Linked DNA regions of Sus scrofa. The protein of the gene in region 5 purifies or fractionates together with the protein of the main gene of each other region. This does not show direct contact. Links are inferred from orthologs where the notes say so. Each region holds a gene or a part of one and is shown on either strand. Other genes may lie near its edges. The genes, in order: SNRPA1, SF3A3, SF3B6, SF3B4 and PHF5A.

Region 1 (4,872 bases), on a different chromosome or scaffold from region 5:
TCAAAGTAGCCGCTTGCATTAGTGAACACCATACTGGGCAATGAAATTCTAGAAAAGAGAATAGGCAAGGTTCTTTATGACCCTGGGATGGGGTAGCTTAACAGAACGCAAAAGCACTAACAACAACAGATTGATAAAATGAACTATGCTTAAATTAGGAATTTCTCTATCAAGATCCTCGGTGTCAAAAGGTGAGCTCGCGAATGGGAAGATATCTGCAACAAAACCCCAAAAGGCCCATTTCCTGAATTAAGAAAAAGACCAAGAAAAAGAACGAGGGGATAATTTTCTGGGTTTTCCAAGTTTTCTATAAAAGAAATGTAGTACCTTTAATTCCTCCCCCCAAATACATTCTTCCCCTGTTCAACTTACCAATTCCACAAGACTATTGTTGGTGAGAATGAGTTCTGTCAGACAGGGCAGAGCCTGATCAAGTCCCTCACCTATACGGCTGAAATAAAAACAGAAGGACTCTTAGTAAACATGCAAATTAAGTCAGCTAAAAATTTTATCTGAGCCCTTGCTCAGAGGGCTTCAGAGTGGGAAGAAACTTAAGAGATCTTTCTTCCAAGACCCTGACAGGAAAATAAGGCACAAAAAGAACTGTCTGAGGTCACACAGGTGACAGAAGTAGGATGACTTTAAAACCCACATCTCCTGAAAGATGTCCAGGGCCCTTCCTACTGCCACACTATCTTAACGAAACCAAAGACAAGAAATTCCTGTGTAAAACAGACTACTTAGTTCATCTCAGGACCTGTGTGAAGCCCAAAAACATAAGTGATTCTGCAGTCAGAGCTCAGGCACAAGATAAGCCAGTAAGCAAACCACAGTGGAATAGTTAACTCACGAGAAATAATGGGCATTTAAAAAAAAGCAACTCACTACCCAGCACTTCTATTGTGTGTGTGTGTGTGTGTGTCTGTGTGTCTTTTTAAGGCTGCACCCACAGCATATGGAGGTTCCCAGGCTAGGGGTCAAATGAAAGCCAAAGCTGCCGGCCTACACTACAGCCACAGAAATGCCAGATCCGAGCCACATCTGCTACCTATGCCGCAGCTTATGGCAATGCCAGATTCTAAAACCACCAGGCAAAGCCAGGGATTGAACCCAGATCCTCATGGATACTAGCTGGGTTCTTAACCTGCTGAGCCATAATGGGAACTCCCCAAAGCAGTAGGTTTTTAACTTAAATTAGAAATGTACCATGAATACATAAATAATACAAGATTTCTGAATAGATGCAAGTAAGACCAGACCAATACCAAATTCATCTCTGGATCTGTATGGGAAAAGTGTAGTTCATTTTCCATTTAAGAAATACGTAGGTGTAACTGGCAATACTGCAACTTCTTTATGGAACTCTGCTACATTTACTCTAGGGGAACAAAAATTACTTTCCACTAGTAGACACTTACCATATTCTATTGTTGTTCACTAACAATGTTTTCAGTCTTCTCAGCAAAGGAAAACCATCTAGTTTCCTGATTTCATTGTCAGAAAAATCAATGGCATCAAATTGGTCTAAGGTAGCACCTAGATTTTCAATGACAGGAATTTTGTACCCTGGAGAAAGGAGGGAAAAAACACACAAGGAAACATTAGCAGCATTTCATGGTAATTGGACTCAAAGCTTTCATTCAATCAGAAAGTTGTTTATCTAGCACCTATGCTGTGCCAAACACTGCCAAAGCACTGGTTGATTACAAGGGCAATAAAGATGAGAATACTCGCTAACAGTAATACTAATAGGTAGCTAACATTTCCAAGTATACTTACAAGGTGCCTTGTATTGTTCTAAGCAAGGCCCCAAAGCTAATGAAGTGGCCTAACAGGACTTTACACTGTGAGCTGCCTACTGTCAGTGTCCAAGCCTTGTCCACGTATTGTGGACAGTAATAGCTCCCAACCTTTTTTGCATTTCCACAGGTCAGATTCCCAGAACTCATTTGGATATCTTCGTATCATGACAGTTCCCACTTCTCTCACCTCCCAGAGGCCCAACCCAGAGTTGAAGGTCAATTTGTACACAATGGTAAATCACCTTGTGAACAACTCACTCAAACGCTCACTGATTTGTCTTCTAGGGGCATAATTATTGTCTTAGGTGCTAGGAGAAGAAAAGAAGTTAACCTAGGCAAGGTTAAATAAGTACACATTTCAGAGCTCTAAAGGCTCAAAGTTAAGTGCTGTACCAAAACGAGCATTCTCAACACCGGATGCACTTCAAACTCAGGCAGACATCAGCCTGTGCCAAGAGTATGAAAGCGGTGGGTTACTCTTGAGTCGAACCTATGATATTTAATTTCAACAAAACGAAAGTACTATGTCAGCAAACAAAAAAGCAAGCAGAAAGCAGGGCCCGCAGCAGTGCTGCTCCTGAGACGGTGTTCTCCCCCGTGGGGGTGGATCTCAAGCCAACACTTAACCCCGGAGAAGTCGTCCTTCACACCCTTTCTAAAGCCTCTCCTACTATGCAGACGAGTTGCCACAGGAATCTAATAGTCTGGAGGACTTCCGCCTCCCTTATAGACGCAAGACATCCGGCAGCCCTAGCGTGGCTGAAACAGTCTGCTCTTTGAAAGGTTTTGGCAAAAGGGAAATAGATCCTTGAAGCTAAGGAGGAGGAAAAGCCGGGAAAAAAAATCGCTTTTGCTCCGGACTTCACTTCCTCCGTCCCATACCCAACCTATATTCTCATGACTTCACTTTACCGTATCTCGGTCCGCACGAGGATCACAAACACGGCTCAGCACCCCAACGGCTCAGCCCACCCCGCAGGCGTGTACTTCCCCGCCCCCCAACGGCTCAGGTCACTCGGCAGGCCCGGCACCGGCCCCGCGGTCTGACCCAAGCATCGAGGCGGTCCCGGGCGGTGGGGGCTGGGCTAAGGAGAGCCTCGAAGGAGTCCAGGGTCGGCGTTTCGCCGACGACAGCGGGACTCAGCCGGGGTAGGAACCGGGACGCACGCCCCAGGCCACGTTCCCGCCCTTCGCGCACGCGGCGGGCGCAGGCCGCCGAGCGGGCGGGGAGGCCGGGCCGCCCGCCCCCGCCCGACTCACCTCGCAAGTCCAGCTCGCGGTCCCGCACGGCGTTGGTGTATTGCGCCGCCTGCTCGATCAGCTCCGCCGTCAGCTTCACCATCCTGTCGCCTCCCGCCTGCAGTGTCTCCCGCTCCTCCCGCCGCACCGACGTCCCGGCGTACCCCGCGCCCGCCGCCAGGCAGCATCAATCGCTTCCGGCGTGTGCTAACAGCGCGGCTCCCAGGCCTAATCAATCGAGGAGCCATTTCCTCCGTGATCGGCCCCGCCCCCGGGCTCGGGCACAGCTTTTGGGCTTTAGCTCCCGCGCTCTCCGCGGCGCATCTGGTTCTGAGTTCGTTCCTCTTGTGCAGCTTCGGCCTGCAGTGCCCCCGAGTCCAGATATTTGTGTCCGCAAGTTAATAAAGAGTGAAAGCCCACGAGTGGAACTTTCGCGTGCGTCAGGACACCTAGAGGTGAAAGGGAGGCAGTGACTGCTTTCACTCCGCCCATGGGATTCAGTGATGGGTCCCGGGCTTTGGCATCCGGGTGACACCATGAAGACCAAGCCTGGGTCTTCCGCACTGGTCTAGTTTGCAGTCAGGCCTGCCCTCTCTAGACAATTAGATATTCATGCTGAAGCCTGATAACACAGGAAGTGTGCAGATCTAAAGTCTGCAACATGACAAATGCCCACAGAGTGAGCACATTTGGGTGGCTGCTGCTGGGGTCCTGAAATTCGGAGACTCCTTCATTCCCCAAAGGGAACTACGAATCCGTCACCATAGATTAGTTTTGCTTACTTTTATATAAAGAGAATGATGCAATCTGTTTTTGTATCTGGTTTCTTTGGCTCTGTGTCATGCCTAAAATCCATCCAGGTTGCAGGCAGCAATGATTTGCTTACTTGCTGCTGTATAGAATTCTATTGCGTCTCTTACACCATAACAATCCATTTCGCTGTCGATGGACATTAGGTTTGTTTCCAGCTTGGGGCTAGTCTGCATAATGCTGCTATGAATTTTGTTGTACGTGGATCGCATGCACCTGTGCCTGAACTTTTCCAGGAGTGAAACTAAGGAGACAAAGTGTGTGGTATTATTGATAGGTACTGCCTGATGATAACTTCCAAGAGGCTGGAATCATTTCCACACTGTAGTGGTGTGTAAGGGTTTCCATCACTTGCCAACATTAACCTCATTTGCACTGTCAGTCTTCATAATTTTAGCAATTCTGGTGAGTACCAGTGCACTATTGCTTTCATTTGCTTTTTTCTAATAATAGTTAAGCATATTGTCCATTCTGATATTTTTTTACAAAGTGCCCATTCAAGTCTTTCTCCCATTTTTTTTCTTAGTGGGTTTTCTTTTTTCTTATTCCTTTTAAGATTTCTTTATATATTCTGAGTGTGAGCATACTATATGGCTTGCCTTTTACTCTTTTTTGGGGGGTAGTAGTTTAAACTTCCTAAATACCAAACACCTCACAGGAAGCCAAAATACTGTCCTCGTATACATCATCAAGCTGCAAAACACAAATTTTAGTACATTTTGGTCTGTTTAAGAAAACATCTTATTTCCCAAATCACCAAAATCATAATCTGGGCTGTAATTTTAATCAGAAGGATAAGAAATGTGACTGCCTCGCCTATTTTGCAAAAAAACAAAAACAATACAATCTGCCAACCCATCCTGAGCTTTCAAATGGTCCAATTAAATAAGAGACTTTGGAGGAAGAAATTCTTGGCTGAGAAGGCCCTCCCCATTGACAATGGTGTCTTTGGTCTTTTTTTGTTTGTTTGCTTTTTAGGGCTGCACTCTCAGCATATGGAAGTTCCCAGGCTGGGGGTGAA
Region 2 (5,001 bases), on a different chromosome or scaffold from region 5:
TGAAAGAGTTGGCCTCTGGGCTGAATAGTGAAGGTGTAATGATTACTGGAATGAGAAAAGCCTCTTTGTGCCAGTTGGATCATCTGGGCAGCGGATTTCAAGACAGAGTTAAGAGCATAAGCAGTTTTTTGGGGGTTATTACCCATGAAAGACAAAAAGGAGAGCAGGACTGGGCGGGGAGATCCTAGACCATGATGCAGACAGCTACCCTCTGATTCAGCACAATGGGGAGCTCTGGAGCAAATATTCCTCATTAGAAGAGTCTCACGTTGGGCAGAAATAACCAGGCCATGGTACCTGCCTCTGTGCTCGGTCTCTGGCTGGGGACTGCCTAAGAAGAGAATGGCCTTAGCTTAAACCTAGGGAGAATCTGAAAGCACTGGAGTTGTAGTATGTCAGCTAGTTATGCTCCCTGCAGTTAAATGGCACGTTCTTTTTTGAAGGGACACATGAGTGGCACAAGTCTCTTTTCCTCCTATCTTTCTCTTTAGTATGCTCTTTGGACAGGTTTGGGGAAAATACTTCCCAAGGTCATACCTCGTTTGGGTGTTTCCGGTGGAATTCCTTTATCTGCTTGAGTCTATTATAGAATTCAGCAAACTCGTTGGGTCCTGAAATGGCATTGAGCTCCTCCTTCCGTAACCTGCAATTTCAGAAAAAATCCATAGAACATGGAACACAAAATCAGTCCTCTAGTGACAGCTCCTCAGGAGGAATAATTTCTGGATTGGCTGACTGTCACTTACCCATCCTTATCATCATACAAATCCCTCAGGTTCCCACTGACTTCCATATACCTCTGAAAGGCAAACACAAACCCATCAGAATGAAGCAATCTGTACAATTTAGACCCAAGCAACCAAAAAGGGCTTTCTAGTCAAAGCCCAAGGAAACCTTAAGAGATGTGCTTTAAAAGTTCTTGTCAGGAAAAAAAAAAAAAAAAAAGTTCTTGTCAGGAGTTCCTGTTGTGGCTTAATGGAAACGAATCTGACTAGCATCCATGAGGATGCAGGTTCGATCCCTGGCCTCGCTCAGTGGGTCAAGGATCCAGTGTTGCCGTGAGCTGTGATTAGGTGGAAGACGCGGCTTAGATCGGGTATTGCTGTGGCTGTGGCATAGGCCAGTGGCTACAGCTCCAATTCGACCCCTAGCCTGAGAATCTCCATATGCCATAGGTGCGGCTCCCCCCAAAAAAGAAAAGTTCTTGTGCTTTCTGGGATCTATAATACACAGCATTGGTTCCTAGTCAGTTTTTCAAACAGGTTATTTTGAAGATTACCTAAGTGATGTGATTTGAGGGGTGGCAGAGTTCCCATATTTAACTCTCCCTAGAAGATCTAAAAGTGAACCATATAAGGAAGTCACTCTGATACAAAGCAGTTCCCACCTAAGACCCTCAAAGATAAACGGATAGTCAAAGATGTTTTCCATTATTTCAAAAAGCTTGTCTGAGGAGTTCCTGTCATGGCTCAGCGGAAAAATAATCTGACTAGGATCCATGTGGATGCAGGTTCGATCCCTGGCCTCAATCAGTGGGTTAAGGATCGGGCGTTGCCGTGAGCTGTGGTGTAGGTCACAGACATAGCTCGAATCTGGTGTGGCTGTGGCTGTGGTAATGGCTGGCGGCTACAGCTCCGATGTGAGCCCTAGCCTGGGAACCACCATGTGCCGCGTGTGTGGCCCTAAAAAGACAAAAAAAAAAAAAAAAAAAAAAAAAAAAAGCTTAACTGAGGAGTGCACATGCTAAATAAAACATCACACAGTCTCCTCCAGATTCAAACTCAGGATGGAACAAGTACACAGTCTCTTCTCCAAAGCTTTCAGGACCAGATTTGTTTCAGAATTTGAAGTTTTTAATTTCAGGAAGGCACTATATATAATATACCTAGTGGAATCTGGAACACACATTAATAGTTCTGCAGTGAAATTTATGCACTATTTATTCAATGGGATAAAGACAATAAAAAGGTCTCTCATCTGTTCATATCAAGTCAGATTTTTGCCACCAAGTAATTAAAAGAACAAATAACCTTTTGTTTTTGGAGTACTTTGCTTTTGGGAATTTAGCTAAGGGACTAGGGCTTATAATATTAATTATGTCCTCCAAACTAGAAATTCTGATTAGATCTTTTTTCCCTTTCTAAATAGGTTTCAAACACGCAAAAACAGAGCTAGAAAGCACAGTATAATGAACCTCCACTTACCTACCACTCAGTTTTAATACGTACCAACATTTTAGTTTTGACTCTTTCTAAAAAAAAATGGAACTATTACTAGAAAAATGCAGCCTGGTAAGCAAAAAATATTTCAATACAGTGTTCTGAGAGGAAAACACTAATACACAGCATTCTCTTTGGGGGAGAAGGCAGAGTACCGTCTGAGTTTGAATCACTATAACTACTCTTTGGTCATCCACTGGACAGAGGAGGCTTTAAAGAGGCATCTTCCCCGGTAATGAATAATGAATGAGTTTCCCATTCAAAGAAGTGAGCAAGGGCAGTTAAGCACCCTCAGGTTTGGCAGCGTGTGGACATTTGGCAGGCATACAAACCCTCGACTGGCCAATCTGGTTACCTGTGGCCAGGGCTCCTGTTGACACCCGTGTCCCCCCTCCTCCCTCTTCCAGTCCATCACGACCCAAAGAGAAGCGAACAGCAGGGCACTCACATCTTGCATGGCCCGTGTGCGGTGGTCAGAATTGATCTGGTCCCGGAGCTGAAGAAAGGCAAACGGTGACAAGGACGCCGTTAGTCGTTGTTCTGGAGTTAGGACGGGCGCCCGAGGGCGGAGCTTACCCGCTCAGGTCTTAGCGGCCCAAGCCGAGAGGCCTCTGGGCGCAGGGCCCGGGGAGAATGTTACCAAGGCGAGAGTTTCGGGAGCGAGTCCGGGGAGGGGGCGGGCGCGGAGCAGGTCTGGGGCTCTCTGAGGTTAAACACGGGCAAGGGGCCCAGTTTCAGGGGTACCCCTGCCCAGGCCCCACTCACCGTGGACTTCTTGGTGAGCATCTCTTTAGCCATGACGTCCATAAGCCGTTCCTTCTCCTCATGATAGCGCCGCTGTTGCTCCAGAATCGTCTCCATCGTCCCTCCTCCCGAGCCGCAAGGCGGACCACCGAAACGGCCGGAAACGACTTCTGCCGCCTTGCGCGCCCGCGTCGCCGAGCCGCGCGTCCGGCTGCACCAAAGTTCCGCGGCTGCCGGAAGTGCTTCGAAGACTCGACGAAAAGTGAGCACCGCGGGAGACCCAATCAGTGCTCGGGACACGGCTGCAGTGCCCCCTGCTGGCCGGGGGTGTGTTGCGCGATGCCCAACGGTTTCCAGGTGCCTCTAGGGGGCAGGCAGATATCCACCAACACCCTGGCTTCAAGGGATCTGACCTGGTTTTCCGGGGCCTCCTGAGGCCGAGAGGGTAGGAAACTGGATGAGTGGTTGAAGCGTATGGATGGGAGTAGGGAACCGGAACTTGAGTCTCCAGCTCTTTGTGTGACCTTTGACAAAGTTTTTCTCTTCTCGGGACCTCCGTGTCCTTGTCAGTAAAATGGGGATGAGAGCAGGGTTTTTTTTCTTTTTTTCTTTTTTTTTTTGCTTTTTAGGGCCGCACTTGCAGCATATGGAGGGTTCCAGGCTAGGGGTCCAATCAGAGCTACAGCTGCCGGCCTACACCTTAGCCACAGCAACGCAGGATCCCAGATGCTTCTGCGACCTATACCACAGCTCACCACAACGCCAGATCCTTAACCCACTGAAAAACGCCAGGGATTGAACCCACTACCTCATGGTTCTTAGGTGGATTCGTTTCCACTGCGCCACGACGGGAACTCCTCCTTTCCTTTTCTTTGCCTTCCTTCCTTTTTCTTTCTTTCTGCATATGTGGAAGCATCCTAATTGTCGATCAGCAGGGGGCTGGTTAAATAAAATATGGTACATCCAAGAAGCAAAATGCTATTCGGCTTTAAAAAAAAAAAAAGTGAAGCAAGTCCATATGTCCACTTCTAGGTAGAGAAATGAAAACAAGTCCATATGTTCAGATGTTCATAGCAGTGATATTCATTATAGACAGAAACAGGATGCAACTCACAAATCCATTAACTGGTAAATGGGCAAACCAAATGTGATGTGTCCATATAATGGAATATTATTCAGCAATAAAGGAATGCTGAGATATGGACGAACCATGAAAACATCACACTAAGTGAAAGAAGCCAGACACAAAAAGTGACATAGCTTATGTCCAGATGGCATATCTATACACAGTAAACGAGTGGTTTCCTGCTGCTGGAGGTGAGACAGGAAGCAACTGCAAAAGACACAGGAAATCTTTTGGGGGATGATAAAAATGTTCTAAAATTGGATTGTGGTGATAGTTGCACAGCTGTGATAAATTTCCTAAAATTAATTGAATTGTACACTTAACTTGGGTGAATTTTATGGTATGTAACTTCTACCTCAGTAGAAGCTGTTTAAAAATTCTGTTGGGGGAGTTCCTGTTGTGGAGCAGCAGAAACAATTCTGACTAGTATCCATAAGGATGTGGGTTTGATCCCTGGCCTCACTCAGTGGGTCTGGGATCTGGTGGTGCTGTGAGCTGTGGCGTAGATTGCAGATGCAGCTCAGATACAACCCCTAGCCTGGGAACTTCCATACAGTGCGGGCCCTAAAAAGCAAAAAAAAAAAAAAAAAAAAATCTGTGTGAACTCAGATGGAAAGATGGTCACGAAAAATGAAAAAACCTAGAGGAGTTCCCGTCGTGGCCCAGTGGAAACGAATCTGGCTAGGAACCAGGAGGTTGTGGGATTTGATCCCTGGCCTCATTCAGTGGACTAGGGATCCGGCGTTGCCGTGAGCTATGGTGTAGTCACAGACGCAGCTTGGATCCCAAGTTGCCATGGCTCTGGTGTAGGCCAAGGCTACAGCTCCTTCTGGACCCCTGGCCCGGGGACCTCCATATGCCGAGGGTATGGCTCTAAAACGCAAAAGAAAAACAAAAACATTAATAACTAAA
Region 3 (4,307 bases), on a different chromosome or scaffold from region 5:
CAGAATGCTACAATGTGGCCAGAAGGGTAAAGTGAGGCTGGATCTCGCCCATGGATATGAGACTGCTTCTTGTTCAACTGTTCCTTGCCACCTCCTCTCCTCACATCACAAACTCCCATTAGGGGAGGGGGTAGGGAAGTGTGAGGAGCAGCAAACTGCAGGTGGCAGATGGCCATGTGCTTGTGAGTGGGGACAGCGGGCAGAGGTCCCAATCGGCTTATGTTCCAGTAAGCTAAACATGGATCCCCTTGCCTTTTTGTGTTCTAGCCACCCACTGCAACTGAGGACTCAGGTTTACCAACTGCCATAGTCCCTGCCCAGGGTCAAGGAAAGGCAGTGGGCCCATGGGAAGGGGAAGATCTGGTGAAGAATGAGACTACAGTCTTGGGCCCCAGCCAGAACCTGTGCTTCCTGTAAAAGGGGATGGGATAGGTACAGGGTACTGGGTGGTTAGAGGGTGCCAGTGACACTGAACACTCTCATTCTGTCAGGCAGCATAGGCCTGATGGAGAATTTTATAAAATTCCTTACTCTGCAAATAATCTAACAACTTTAGGACTTTTGACCATTTTCAAGAATGTTTTAGGTATGAGAACTGGGGACTACCCAAAGGAAAAACACTGTCCCGAAGATTTTCCCAAAAAGTCTACCTAATTTTTCCTTCAGAATAAAACCATTAAAAAACTTGGCGACATTTGTGGAGTTCCCCTGTGGCATAGCTGGTTAAGAATTCAGAGTCACTGCAGCAGTTTGGGTAGCTGCTGTGGCATGGGTTCAATCCCGGGCCTGGGAACTTCCAAATGCTGTGGGTATGGCCAAAACAAAACCAAAAGAACTTAGCAACATTTAAAGTTCCTTAAGAGCAAACACGAGTGTATAGTTTATTTCACTCCCACAGTACTATGATTACAGCAAATACTAATAAGCATTTGAAGGGTAGAGATCTACTTTTTCCTATCAATCCTCTCACATATCTTTTCTGTAGGAAGCTAACAAAACAAAAGGATCTCTTCCTTACATCTTCTTAGAAAGCAGAATAGGTAGGCACTAACTTCATTTTATTTATTTATTATTATTATTTATTTATTTATTATTATTGTCTTTTTGTCTCTTTAGGGCTGCACCCGCAGCATATGGAGGTTCCCAGGCTAGCGGTCAAATCAGAACTGTAGCCATCGGCCTAAGCCACAGGCACAGCCACATGGGATCTGAGCCGAGTCTTCAACCTACACCACAGCTCAGGGCAACACCAGATCCTTAACCCACTGCATGAGGCCAGGGATCTATCCCTTATCCTCATGGTTACTAGTCAGATTCGTTAACCACTGAGCCATGACAGGAACTCCCTCTAACTTCATTTTAAAGACTCTCCATCTTAAGTACCCAGCCCCTAATTACCAACCTATTATCAACCACACTGTAATTTTAATTTTTAAAAACATGTACTTGGTACCTATTATATGTTAGGCACTAAGCTAACATTATTTGCTTTTTTTTTTCATTTTAGGGCAAAAAGACTTCCTAAAAAGGACAGCTGGTCTATAAAACTTCATTTTCATTCTTTTTTTTTTTTTTTTTTGTCTTTTCTAGGGCCACACCCACGGCATATGGAGGTTCCCAGGCTAGGGGTCAAATTGGAGCTGTAGCCACTGGCCTACACCATAGCCACAGCAACGCCAGATCTGAGCCGTGTCTGCGACCTATACCACAGCTCACGGCAACACCGATCCCTAACCCACTGAGTGAGGCCAGGGATTGAACCCGCAACCTCATGGTTCCTAGTTGGATTCGTTAACCACTGAGCCATGACGGGAACTCCTTCATTTTCATTCTTGTTTGAGTAGCAGTGATGATGTATTTCTAGCTCTTGGTTTACTTTTTGGAGGGACAGTGATCATTGAAAAGGAGAGTCCTCAAGGTCTCACAGAGTTTTAAAAGCCAAGAATGCGCTCTCAAGTCATAAAAGAACAGTTATTAAGAATCATTTGGGAGTTCCCGTCGTGGCGCAGTGGAAGTGAATCCGACTAGGAACCATGACGTTGTGGGTTCAATCCCTGGCCTCGCTCAGTGGGTTAGGGATCGGTGTTGCTATGAGCTGTGGTGTAGGTTGCAGACATGGCTCGGATCCAGTGTTGCTGTGGCTGTGGTGTAGGCCAGTGGCTACAGCTCCAATTGGACCCCTAGCCTCCATATTGGAACCTCCATATGCCATGGGTGCAGCCCTAGAAAAGACAAAAAAAGACCAAAAAAGAATTATTCCAACTAAAAATAAAAACTCTAGAAATCCTTTTAATGGACTCTTAGGTAATTGGCTCATTTATACTAGTTAAAGTGACAGTGGCTGTGTTACTGTGTGGTGTAGAGATTCAATTTAGAATCAGAAGATATTATCACTAAATAGCTGTCTGAAGCCAAAAAGGTACTTTTACTCTCTGGGCCTTGATGAAACAGACACAATATCCCCTCCACACAGGGCTGTAGGGTTGCTGATGCAAATAAAAGCAACTATAACTACAGGTGACATACAGTAGATGACCAAAAATATCACTTGAAGGTATAAAGCCCATCTTTAGATTAAATTAAAACATGGATTTGGGAGTACTCCCCATGGTACAGTGGGTTAAGGATGTGACTGCAGTGGCTTGGGTTGTTGAGGAGGCGCAGGTTCCATCCCTGGCCTGGTGCAGTGGGTTAAAGGAAACTGTGTTGCTGCAGTTGCAGCTCGAATTCAATCCCTGGCCTGGGAATTTCCATACACCACAGGTGTGGCCATAAAAAACCAAACCAAACCAAACCATATGGCTGTGTAGTGTAATTATTTTGCCTTATACTTTTAAATCCTCCATAGTTGAAAAATAAAATCATTTTTCTCAGTTACTTTTATATCCCTTTACACAGCTTATTCAGAAATTCTGTTGTCAGTAAAGGAGACAGTGAAGACCGTTGAGAAAATTAAGAGTTAATGCATATAAAAATCATAGCAGAGGACCTCTTTATAAACAGTAGGCATATAATAAATGCTAGCCCTTTCTCTCCTCATCCATTCCCCTCAAACCATTCATTACTACTTCATGCTCTCTATAACTGCATAATACTATTATTGGCTCTAATTAAGCTGGACCATGAGGGTCTCCATGGGTACTTTTCCCTTAGTTTCTAGGCTCTCAGGCCCAATGTCAGCTAATTCTGAGATGATAAATTATGTAATCATTTTCTTTAAATGCCATTTCAAAAGTCTCAGTAAGACTCACACTCTGATTTGACGAATAGGTCCATATTTCCCAAATATATCATACATTTCTTCAGCTGTGATTTTGTAGGGCAAATTTCTTATATATAAAATCCGATTTACTTCAGGTGGAAGTCGAATCTAAAATGAGAAATAACATACTGTTATAATCAAAGACAAGAGTGCTACCGTTTAAAAAATTCTCATAATATATTCTTTTTTTTTTTGTCTTTTGTCTTTTGTTGTTGTTGCTATTTCTTGGGCCGCTCCCGCGGCATATGGAGGTTCCCAGGCTAGGGGTTGAATCGGAGCTGTAGCCACCGGCCTATGCCAGAGCCACAGCAACGCGGGATCCGAGCCGCGTCTGCAACCTACACCACAGCTCATGGCAACGCCGGATCGCTAACCCACTGAGCAAGGGCAGGGACCGAACCCGCAACCTCATGGTTCCTAGTCGGATTCGTTAACCACTGCGCCACGATGGGAACTCCTCATAATATATTCTAATGAAAATGATACATAATTTTTATAAGCCAAGAGTAAGAATTATAATCTGATATTAATAAAAATGGCATGCTCTTTGGAAAAGCAACTGGGCACTGGTTTTAGGGAAGACTATTAGTAGGAATTAATAAAGGGTTACTACACAACCCAGGCCTTTCAATCTTGAGGGAAAAAAACAAAGCTGAAGGCATAAGCCTCCCAGACTTCAGACACTACTACAAAGCTAGAGTAATCAAAACAGTATGGTCTGGCCAAAGAAAAACAGACATACAGATTAATCAGACAGAAGAGACACCCTGGAAATAAACCCATCTACAGTCAACAAATTTTCAACAAAGGAGGCAATTAGGGATAAATCATCAATAGAAAAAAGATAAGTCTCTTCAGCAAGCGGTGTTGGGAAAGTTGCCCAGCTGCATGTAAATCAATGAAGTTAGGACACATCCTCACACCATGCACAAAAACAGACTCAAAATGGCTTAAAGACTTAAATATAAGACCTGATACCACAGAATTCCTAGAAGAGAATATAGGCAAAACAGTCTGACATAAATTGTACCAATGTTTTCTTAGG
Region 4 (3,962 bases), on a different chromosome or scaffold from region 5:
TCTCTCCAAAACAGCTAAGTAGAATTTCCCTCATTTCTATTAACTGCTTCTCAGTACTCCATTGTATAGATTTACCGATTTATTCAACCAGATCCTTACTGATGGATAAGTGGGTTGTTTTCAAGCTACTATTACAAAGAGTGCTGCAATGAATAGCTTTGTGCATGTTACTTCATATTTTTGCCAGCATTACCTCAGGAACTTTAATTCTGTTCTCACTTAATAGTCACAATAATCACAATAATCCTTTATCACAGATATTGGGTCTTCATCTTATGGGTAAGTTTAATGTAAAGAAATAACTGCTGTAGTACACAGCAGTCCAGCAACCACCACAGCACATTACAGAATAAGTCTGTATTTATTTACTTATTTAATTTTATTTTTACAGCTATACCTGCGGCATGCTTAAGTTCCCAGGCCAGGGGTCGAATTAGAGCTGCAGCTGGGGTTTATGTCACAGCCATGACACCACCAGATCTGAGCCACCTCTGCGACCTTCGCCACAGCTTAGTAATGCTGGATCCTTAACCCACTGAGTGAGGCCAAGAATAGACCCCACACCCTCACAGAGACAATGTCAGATCCTTAACCTGCTGAGCCACAATGGGAACTCCCAGAATAAGCCTTTAAACCATGGAGTAAACACCCTTATTCTGACCTTACCAGTCTTTCCCTATTAGACTGACACCTCTTATTAGAGAAAAAGAAGTTGTTTTGCCAAGGAAAACACCACAAAGAATAAACAAGGAGTTAAGTTTTATTTTCTCTGTGCATTTGCAAAGCACTTCGGACCAACATAGAGGGGGAAAAAAAACCTCCTGTGGAAAAAAAATTACACTTACAAAAAAGGCCTGAGAGGGATTAGTGCCCTAGCCCCTGCGAGCTACAGCAACTCTGATTGGTCCAAGGAAGTGAAAAGATATTGGGAGGACATAACAGGAGCAAAGACAGTGAGAAATCACTGAGGAAGAGGGCCTCGAAGTGGGCCTCGAGGGGGAACTGGAGGCCGGGGAGTGGGTCTGGGTGGAGGGAGGGGTCCTCGCTGGTAGCCATATGGTGGAGGTCGTGGAGGGCCAGTGTATCCATGAGGGGGCATCAGTGGGGGAGGTCCGCGCATACCATGTGGTGGCATAGGACCAGGGTGACCTGCAGGAAAAGAACGAACTTAGTAAAAACAATTAGGAGATAATTGGGACAAATAGGACAAAACATTGGGACAGTGAAGGAAGAGGAGAGACAAGCAAACAGTGAAAAGAAATACAAGAATGAAAAGAAAGAACACACAGGGGATAAGAGGTGTGACTAAAGAAGCTGCAAGAATATGACACATGAGGACAAGAGAGGTGGCCAGAACCTACTCACCCATGGGCGATCCAAATGGAGGCCCTCGAGGGGGCATGCCCATTGGAGGAGGTCCAGGATGAGGCATTCCAGGTGGTGGTCGAGGTGGTGGCTGCCCTCCAGAGCCAGGGGGCCCAGCATGGGGGTGTCCTAAGCCATGAGGGCCATGGTGGGCCAGCTGCATCTGAGACATCCCTATGAGAACAAAACAGACACAAACACAAAGGAGACAAAAGAAAATCAGACAAGGGGGCAAAGAAAATGAGAAAGAAAAGAGTAAGGAAAATAAGGCTGGTAAAAAGTGCCCTTATCCTTGACTCCAAGCAAGAGAACCAACCAACCTATGATCCAATCAATTCCCAACCACCCAGCTGGCTCCTTCCATGATTTAGGCACTGTACAAGTGCTGCAGAAGTATGTAACAAATGGAACGATTATGCTATTGAATAGGATTTGAGAAGGTAACAGAGATACTGCCTGAACCAAGATCCAATTCTGAAGGATAAAGAGGAATTTTTCAGGGGGACAACAAGTGGGAACAGAACATTCTAGGCAAAATGATTAGCACGTGCAAAGCACAAGTACGTCCAAAAGCACAGTATGTTATAGGAAAACCAGTAAGTCGGTAATCAGGAGAATGCAGTTGTGGGAACAATGAGGAGCCAGATCATGACAAACCTAGAACTGCTATGCTAACAAGTTTGGCCTTTACTCGATAGGTAAAAGGGAGCAAAAGAATTTTGAGCAAGGGTGTGTGAACATCTATATTTTAGAAAAATTACTCACTGAAAGTCGATCGAAGGTAGAGATAATTAGAGTCAAAGTGTCAGAAAATTACTACAATAAATTAGGTGTGGAATAATGAGGATATGAGAGCCTGAACTAGGGCACTGACAATGAGGGCTGATGGCAGAGGTATTAATAAGACTTGGTATTAAGAGTGGGGTGGAGTTCCTGTCATGGTGCGTAAGGTTGTGCGTTCGATCCTTGGCCTTGCTCAGTGGGTTAAGGATCCGGTGATGCCATGAGCTGTGGTGTAGGTCACAGATGCGGCTCAGATCTGGTGTTGGTGCAGCTGTGGCGTACGTAGGCTGGCAGCTACAACTCCAATTAGACCCCTAGCCTGGGAACTTCCATATGCCGCAGGTGCGGCCCTAAAAAGACAAAAGACAGAAAAAAAAAAGAGTGGGGTAACAGGGAAGAGTCAAACATAGCTCCCAGATTTCTGAATCAAGCACCTGAAAACTAAGACTACTAGAGAAAGAATAAGGTTGAAGGGCAGGGGTATAAAAGTAGTCATCCAGTAGTTCCCGTCGTGGCGCAGTGGTTAACGAATCCGACTAGGAACCATGAGGTTGCGGGTTCAGTCCCTGCCCTTGCTCAGTGGGTTAACGATCCGGCATTGCCGTGAGCTGTGGTGTAGGTTGCAGGCGCGGCTCGGATCCCGTGTTGCTGTGGCTCTGGCGTAGGCCGGTGGCTATAGCTCCGATTCAACCCCTAGCCTGGGAACCTCCATATGCCGCGGGAGCGGCCCAAGAAGTAGCAACAAAAACAACAACAACAACAACAACAAAAAGACAAAAGACAAAAAAAAAAAAAAAAAGTAGTCATCCATTAAACAGTAAGATTAAGGGTATGGAATGTTAATACCCATGGAACAGCCACCCATCTAGGTGGCATCAGTGTACAAACAATGGGACTGTGCAAAAAAGAGAGCCAGACACAAAAACCTCAGCTGAGAAAAAGGAGCCTATTAAGGTGGCTGAGATTGAGGATTCAGAGAGAAAGAGAATCCATAAAAACCAAAAAAGACAAGATTTTCAAACAGGAGGACACGGCCAGTTTCAAGAATAGCAAAGATCAAACAAGATAAGGAGCAGCCTAGACTTGGCATGTAGGTGACTGCTTTGGGGTGGAAGTCAGAGGAAAGAATGGAAGTAAAGGTTAAGAAAACAAAACCCAGCAAGTATAGTTATACTCTTCGGTAAAACTTTAAGAAATGAAAACAGGCTGATAGTTGTTAAAGTAAACAGGCTAAAGTATTTTGTGTTTGTTTCTATAAAAGAATGTCTGGGAGTTCCCGTCGTGGCGCAGTGGTTAACGAATCTGACTAGGAACCATGAGGTTGCGGGTTCAATCCCTGCCCTTGCTCAGTGGGTTAACGATCTGGCGTTGCCGTGAGCTGTGGTGTAGGTTGCAGACGTGGCTCGGATCCCGCGTTGCTGTGGCTCTGGCGTAGGCTGGTGGCTACAGCTCCGATTCGACCCCTAGCCTGGGAACCTCCATATGCCGCGGGAGCGGCCCAAGAAATAGCAAAAAGACAAAAAAAAAAAAATGTCTGGAAGAAAGGAATGTCTAAAGAAAGGGACTCTCTATTATTGTTGAAGGACAGAGAACAGCAGCATAACTGGTGAAAGAATCCCTCTCCTTCCCAGCAAAGAAAACCCACCTGGATGGGGCATCCCACCCGGTGGGAATGGGTGAGGATGTGAGTGTCCATGTGCAGGATGTCCAGCCCCTGGGGTTCCTGCTGATGGAGGGCCATGTCCTCCAGCCCCAGGAGGCATAGGTGGTGGGGGCATGGCTGGGGGTATCCCAGGTGGAAGGGCTCCAGGAGG
Region 5 (4,864 bases):
AAATGTGGACCATACTACAATACACGCAGGGATTATACTTTGAACTGAGGAAAAGGGGAGACAAACACAAAAACCAAGCTTCTTTCTGTAAAGGGAGTGTAATCTACCTGGTGGATCAGATCAAACAGGTATGATATGACAATCAAAAGTAAACACAAATCAGAGTTTAGGACAGGAGAATGTTCACATCACCAAGGGAAAATTTGTCTTTGGTACTTTATGATCTTTCTCATCTCCCTAAATAAGAGAAGACTTAATGGTGTAAAAAAAAAGTTTTATTTGGTGTGACATGTCCCACTTATTAAAGGTAGACAGGATCCAAATGTAAAGATTGCTGAGTTGCTTCTCGTCAACCAGGCACATCCCACCAAAAGGACCATAAGGTGTATTGCAGCTATCACCAGGTTTAGACAGACAGCCGGGGCTTGCCCCTTATTAGCTGCAGGACAGACTGTAAAAGGGGGATAGTAATAATCCCTATTTAACAAAGTTACTGTGAAGAATATGGAAGATAATACCCACATAGAAACTACCTATTCTTTGCACAAGGAAAAATTAAGAAATATTTTATCTCATGCCTTATCCTAGATTAGGTAACCAGATACCTTATAATAAATAGTCTACTGGTACTATATCACATTTCCTTTTATTTATTGTGTCATATGAATAAAAGCTGATTAACCTCCCCTACCCCAAGCCTGCTTTTGGAATAGATCTACAAGCCCTCTATCCTGGCTCAAAGAGTTGAATAAATAGCCACTGGCACCGGAGTTCCCGTCGTGGTGCAGTGGTTAACGAATCTGACTAGGAACCATGAGGATGCGGGTTCGATCCCTGCCCTTGCTCAGTGGGTTAAGGATCCGGCGTTGCCACGAGCTGTGGTGTAGGTTGCAGAGGCGGCTCGGATCCTGCGTTGCTGTGGCTCTGGCGTAGGCCAGTGGCTACAGCTCCGATTTGACCCCTAGCCTGGGAACTTCCATATGCCACGGGAGCGGCACAAAGAAATAGCAAAAAAAAAAAAAAAAAAAAGCCACTGGCACCAAAAAAATGTCAAGGGGCAAAAATGCCATGAGCAAGAATTACAATCAATTCTGCAAAATCAACCAAAGGCACTCTCTAGCCACTCAGAGCTGAAATGAACTTGAACTGTCCCAAATTCAAAAGTCATCACATCCACCCTAACGTTCCTTAATGGTAGCACAAATTAGTGACTTCTGCACATCATGCACTGTGGTATGATTTAAAAATGCAGCATAGTTTCTGGGGGGAAAAAAAAAAAGAGAGAGAAAGTTCCTTTGTGGTGCAGTAGGTTAAGGATCTGGCATTGCCGTAGCTGTGGCACAGGCCACAACAGCAGCATGGTTCATCCCTGGCCTGGGAGCGTCCACATGTGGACACAGCCAAAAAAAAAAAAAAAGAGAGAGAGAAAGACATCAAATTGCCAGTGTTGACAAAAATTTGCTTTTCTCGCCTTTGTGTACTTGATGCAAAATAACTACCTTTTGTTGGAGTACACCCAGTTTGGTTTACAGAACTTGAAAATTATAACCTAGGTGACTGGCTGAACAGCCATCTCCTGACCATAGGAGTCTGCTGTGGATGGCCAAGTGTTCCTAAACGAAAGGAAAGATCAGAGGAAAAGCTTAGTATACACTCACATCCTTCTCCTGGATGGTGCACTCCTTACAATAATAGGCATCTGAAACTCCCGGGCCTCCGCAGATCACACAGCGCCCCTGGTAAGAGCCATAGTTACACTCGTCACATATGCGCACCAGGGTGCAGGGACGCACGTAGGAGTCACAGATCACACACTTGCCATCACCTGTAAGGAAAAGAGGTTGAATTACGCCCACTTGCAAGTACCTCAGGTCCTCTTCCTGCTATGGGTAAAAACACTATGTCCTTCTGACAGTGACTTTAGCCCTCTATTTTGGCATTATAAAATTGGTTTACCTAGCGTCCATTTCTCAATCTCCCCAACACATAGGAAAGCTAATCAATTAATATAAAGGGCTTAGAATAGCAGTCGGTAGATAAGTCTATATAATTGACTGGCAGAATGCTGTGTGTGTTGGGGGCAGGGTCATGCTACTTCTGGTCCAAAGCTAGAGGTTTTGTCAAAACCTAAATACAGTGCCTAAAATGTACAAGTTGGAGCGGGAAGGTGGCCTTTAGTTGCAGTCTGGCTTTGTATTAACATGCTTCCAATCATGTCTATCCAAAGCCCTCTTCGTGGCACCGCTGAAAATGTCCGTTGCTGCCACTATAGAAGCTGAGTGGGAGGGGTGGGCTGTTTGGAGAAGCGTGTTCCACTCACATTTTTCACACAGTCTTCCAATGGCTGCAAGATCAAAGGTGATAAAGAGTACAATTAGGATTAAGGTTTAGAAGAGGGGACAAAAGCCTCGAGCTTGAGTTGGGGACAGGTACAGGGTCTGCAGTGAGCCCTGAGAGGTCTTAACCATCGTATTCTCATAAACTTCAATCCGAACCAAATCCGCACCCTCGTAAGACCTCCCAGGTCCTGGGAAAACTGAGAATTTCTCTATCTCCGCAGCCCCTCTCCAGCTCTCAGCACGCGCGCCCCCGCCCCCCTTTCATCTGAGCCCACAAACCCACGCGCTCCTACACTACCGGCGGCGAGGCGGGAAACGGGGCGCCTCCGAAGCAACACCCTAAAGGAGTAATGGGAACCCCGGACTCTTAAGGTCCTAATACCATCCCCACCCAAACAGCCGGGGGCAGAAGACCGTCTCACCAACACCAGCCTGCTTGCGGCAAAAAATCAAGTCCGGGTGATGCTTAGCCATCGCTCGCGCTCAAACCACCGGAAGCTTAGGGAGCTTCCGCCAGACCTTTAACCCTGATTGTTCCTGCCTCCTCGTCGCCCTGATTGGTTCTCTAGGCGTCCATCAGCGTTTGCAATCTTTGCACCAAGCCCCGCTCATTCTCGCGTGATCAAAGCACTTAAATTCCGAAGACGAATTCCCGTTGGCAGTGGGGGAGTCAGGTCTTGGTAGGGGTGTGCGGGTCATTTAGGGAAAAAAAAAAAAAAAAACTTTCCCAGATTTGAATGGGAGGGACAAGTTGCAGAGCGCAAAGACGAAATTTGCACTTTGATATCTTTGTGCCGGGTATTTACTACCCCAACTTTTTAGGCAGCTCTCTCCCAATTCCCAGGTTGACTCTGGAGCTCCGCCCACGTCGCTCGCGGGAACGCCTTCAGCGTGACGCGTTTCTCCTCAGGTCACGCCCCTCACCGAAGGCCTTAAATAAGCCGCGTGTCACGTCACTTTCAAGCGACCTCATCTTTGTCAGTGCACAAAATGGCGCCTTACAGCCTACTGGTGACCCGGCTGCAGGTGAGCGAACCGAGAGCCCTCTAGGTTTACGGGGGCGGGGTACCTCTTTTGCGCTTGCGGCTATGGGCAAGGCAAGGCGAGGCGGGCCTGACCTCCGGCCGACTTTTCGCGTACCTGTCCCTTGCGCGGGCCCAGCGCAAATACCCGCTCCTCTGGCGCCCGAGGTCAGGGCGTCCCCGGCTCAGTCAGCTCTCAGCCCTGTCCCCGCCCCGCTGGAAGCAAGGGCCTAAGAAGCGGCGGCCGGGTGAAGAGTGGAGGCACGTCTTTCTCATTTTTGAGGACCGCAGTTTCTTCCCCCGTAAGGCTTTTTTTTTTTTTTTTTTTTTTCCTCCCCCGTTCCTCAAGGTGAGGACAAGGTGACTGGGGGGCGCGGTGGTTGGTAAGCGCGCTAGGCCCAGAGCCTGAAGGCCTCACTTTTCATCTCAGTAGCACAGAGTTGCTAGCCAGGTGCATCTACGGTTGCCAAACATGGAGTCTGTAGGGGGGGAAAAAAAAAAAACTATGACCTATTCCATCTTGTGGGGATCCTGCGGAACATGTACCCAAGAATTCGAGGGGGTGGGTTCCGTGCCCAGATGTAGCAAATAGTAATGATGACAGTAGTCTCTCAGCTTTGCACAAGATTGCAAGACTTAATTCCTCACCACATCGTTTGATTCATATCATCATTTCTGGAGATGATTATTTTTATTTGATAGGTGATGACGCTGTTAGAAAACAGGTAAAAGTTCTGCTCTCTGAGTCTTACCAAAGTGCTGTGGCCTGAGCATCTGCCCTACTACTCCCCATTCTCCTTGTCCCTTTCAGCCTGCCCTCACAGAACTTTTTGAGCCAGAGTGTGGTCCTGGAGCTGACATTTGTATTTGTGGGAGTTCCAGAATGGCGTATTTTGAGCTCACAATCAGTTGCTTTTCAGTTACTAGATGGGGAGGGTAAAAGAGACTCAACAGTTTGACCTTGACTGTCCTCTTTTGAACCATCTAGAAGATTGACTGACTGCCATTTCTTTTTTTTTCACTCCTGACTTGACAACCCTAGGAAGATGTTACACTCAAAGGTTCAATGTCAAGAACGTATTTCGTTAATAAAAAATCAAGCAAGCATTCTCCGACAACCTTTTACATTTAAATTTGTGAATCTACATTGGATCAAGTAGCACAACTATTATTGCAGAATTTAAAAAGAAGTAGTGTACTGTACTCTCAGAAAGTATTGTGTTGTCAGAAGTTTTTTTTTTTTTTTTTAAAGTTACATTGCTAAAATTTAAACCATATGGTTTAAAGGGAAATCATTTATCTTAAAATACTTAGGGTCTCTCAATTCTGGGCAAAGACAAGGATTTGTCCAAATTTTCTCTTAGATTTTTTTGTTTCTCCAAGTTAACAATGTGGAAGTAGTTGTTTCTTGCTGATCTTGCTGTCCCATCTGTAGTGAATCTGGGCAAGATTGTTTGAAAAGATAAATTATTACAGATCTGTTGAGCCTGGAAGAGAGGACTG

The links.
Region 1: the proteins of PHF5A (region 5) and SNRPA1 purify together in Homo sapiens (affinity purification with mass spectrometry; 4 studies listed by BioGRID and IntAct, with this or other methods). This does not show direct contact. The link is inferred for Sus scrofa from reciprocal best matches to the Homo sapiens genes PHF5A and SNRPA1.
Region 2: the proteins of PHF5A (region 5) and SF3A3 purify together in Homo sapiens (affinity purification with mass spectrometry; 3 studies listed by BioGRID and IntAct, with this or other methods). This does not show direct contact. The link is inferred for Sus scrofa from reciprocal best matches to the Homo sapiens genes PHF5A and SF3A3.
Region 3: the proteins of PHF5A (region 5) and SF3B6 purify together in Homo sapiens (affinity purification with mass spectrometry; 4 studies listed by BioGRID and IntAct, with this or other methods). This does not show direct contact. The link is inferred for Sus scrofa from reciprocal best matches to the Homo sapiens genes PHF5A and SF3B6.
Region 4: the proteins of PHF5A (region 5) and SF3B4 purify together in Homo sapiens (affinity purification with mass spectrometry; 6 studies listed by BioGRID and IntAct, with this or other methods). This does not show direct contact. The link is inferred for Sus scrofa from reciprocal best matches to the Homo sapiens genes PHF5A and SF3B4.

Annotation. Positions count from the first base shown.
Region 1 is NC_010443.5:145,705,743-145,710,614, reverse strand, and holds the start of SNRPA1 (U2 small nuclear ribonucleoprotein A'), read right to left. Parts: upstream 3,223-4,872; 5' UTR 3,145-3,222; coding exon 3,063-3,144; intron 1,567-3,062; coding exon 1,419-1,566; intron 452-1,418; coding exon 373-451; intron 1-372. UniProt on the Homo sapiens protein: Involved in pre-mRNA splicing as component of the spliceosome. Associated with sn-RNP U2, where it contributes to the binding of stem loop IV of U2 snRNA.
Region 2 is NC_010448.4:93,973,079-93,978,079, forward strand, and holds the start of SF3A3 (splicing factor 3A subunit 3), read right to left. Parts: upstream 3,247-5,001; 5' UTR 3,081-3,246; coding exon 2,985-3,080; intron 2,716-2,984; coding exon 2,668-2,715; intron 800-2,667; coding exon 747-799; intron 644-746; coding exon 538-643; intron 1-537. UniProt on the Homo sapiens protein: Component of the 17S U2 SnRNP complex of the spliceosome, a large ribonucleoprotein complex that removes introns from transcribed pre-mRNAs.
Region 3 is NC_010445.4:114,612,146-114,616,452, reverse strand, and holds part of SF3B6 (splicing factor 3B subunit 6), read right to left. Parts: intron 3,371-4,307; coding exon 3,252-3,370; intron 1-3,251.
Region 4 is NC_010446.5:99,125,999-99,129,960, reverse strand, and holds the end of SF3B4 (splicing factor 3B subunit 4), read right to left. Parts: coding exon 3,794-3,962; intron 1,540-3,793; coding exon 1,366-1,539; intron 1,150-1,365; coding exon 962-1,149; 3' UTR 743-961; downstream 1-742. UniProt on the Homo sapiens protein: Component of the 17S U2 SnRNP complex of the spliceosome, a large ribonucleoprotein complex that removes introns from transcribed pre-mRNAs.
Region 5 is NC_010447.5:7,069,460-7,074,323, reverse strand, and holds the start of PHF5A (PHD finger-like domain-containing protein 5A), read right to left. Parts: upstream 3,180-4,864; 5' UTR 2,814-3,179; coding exon 2,762-2,813; intron 2,345-2,761; coding exon 2,321-2,344; intron 1,826-2,320; coding exon 1,659-1,825; intron 452-1,658; coding exon of another isoform or gene 407-451; exon of another isoform or gene 254-406; intron 1-253.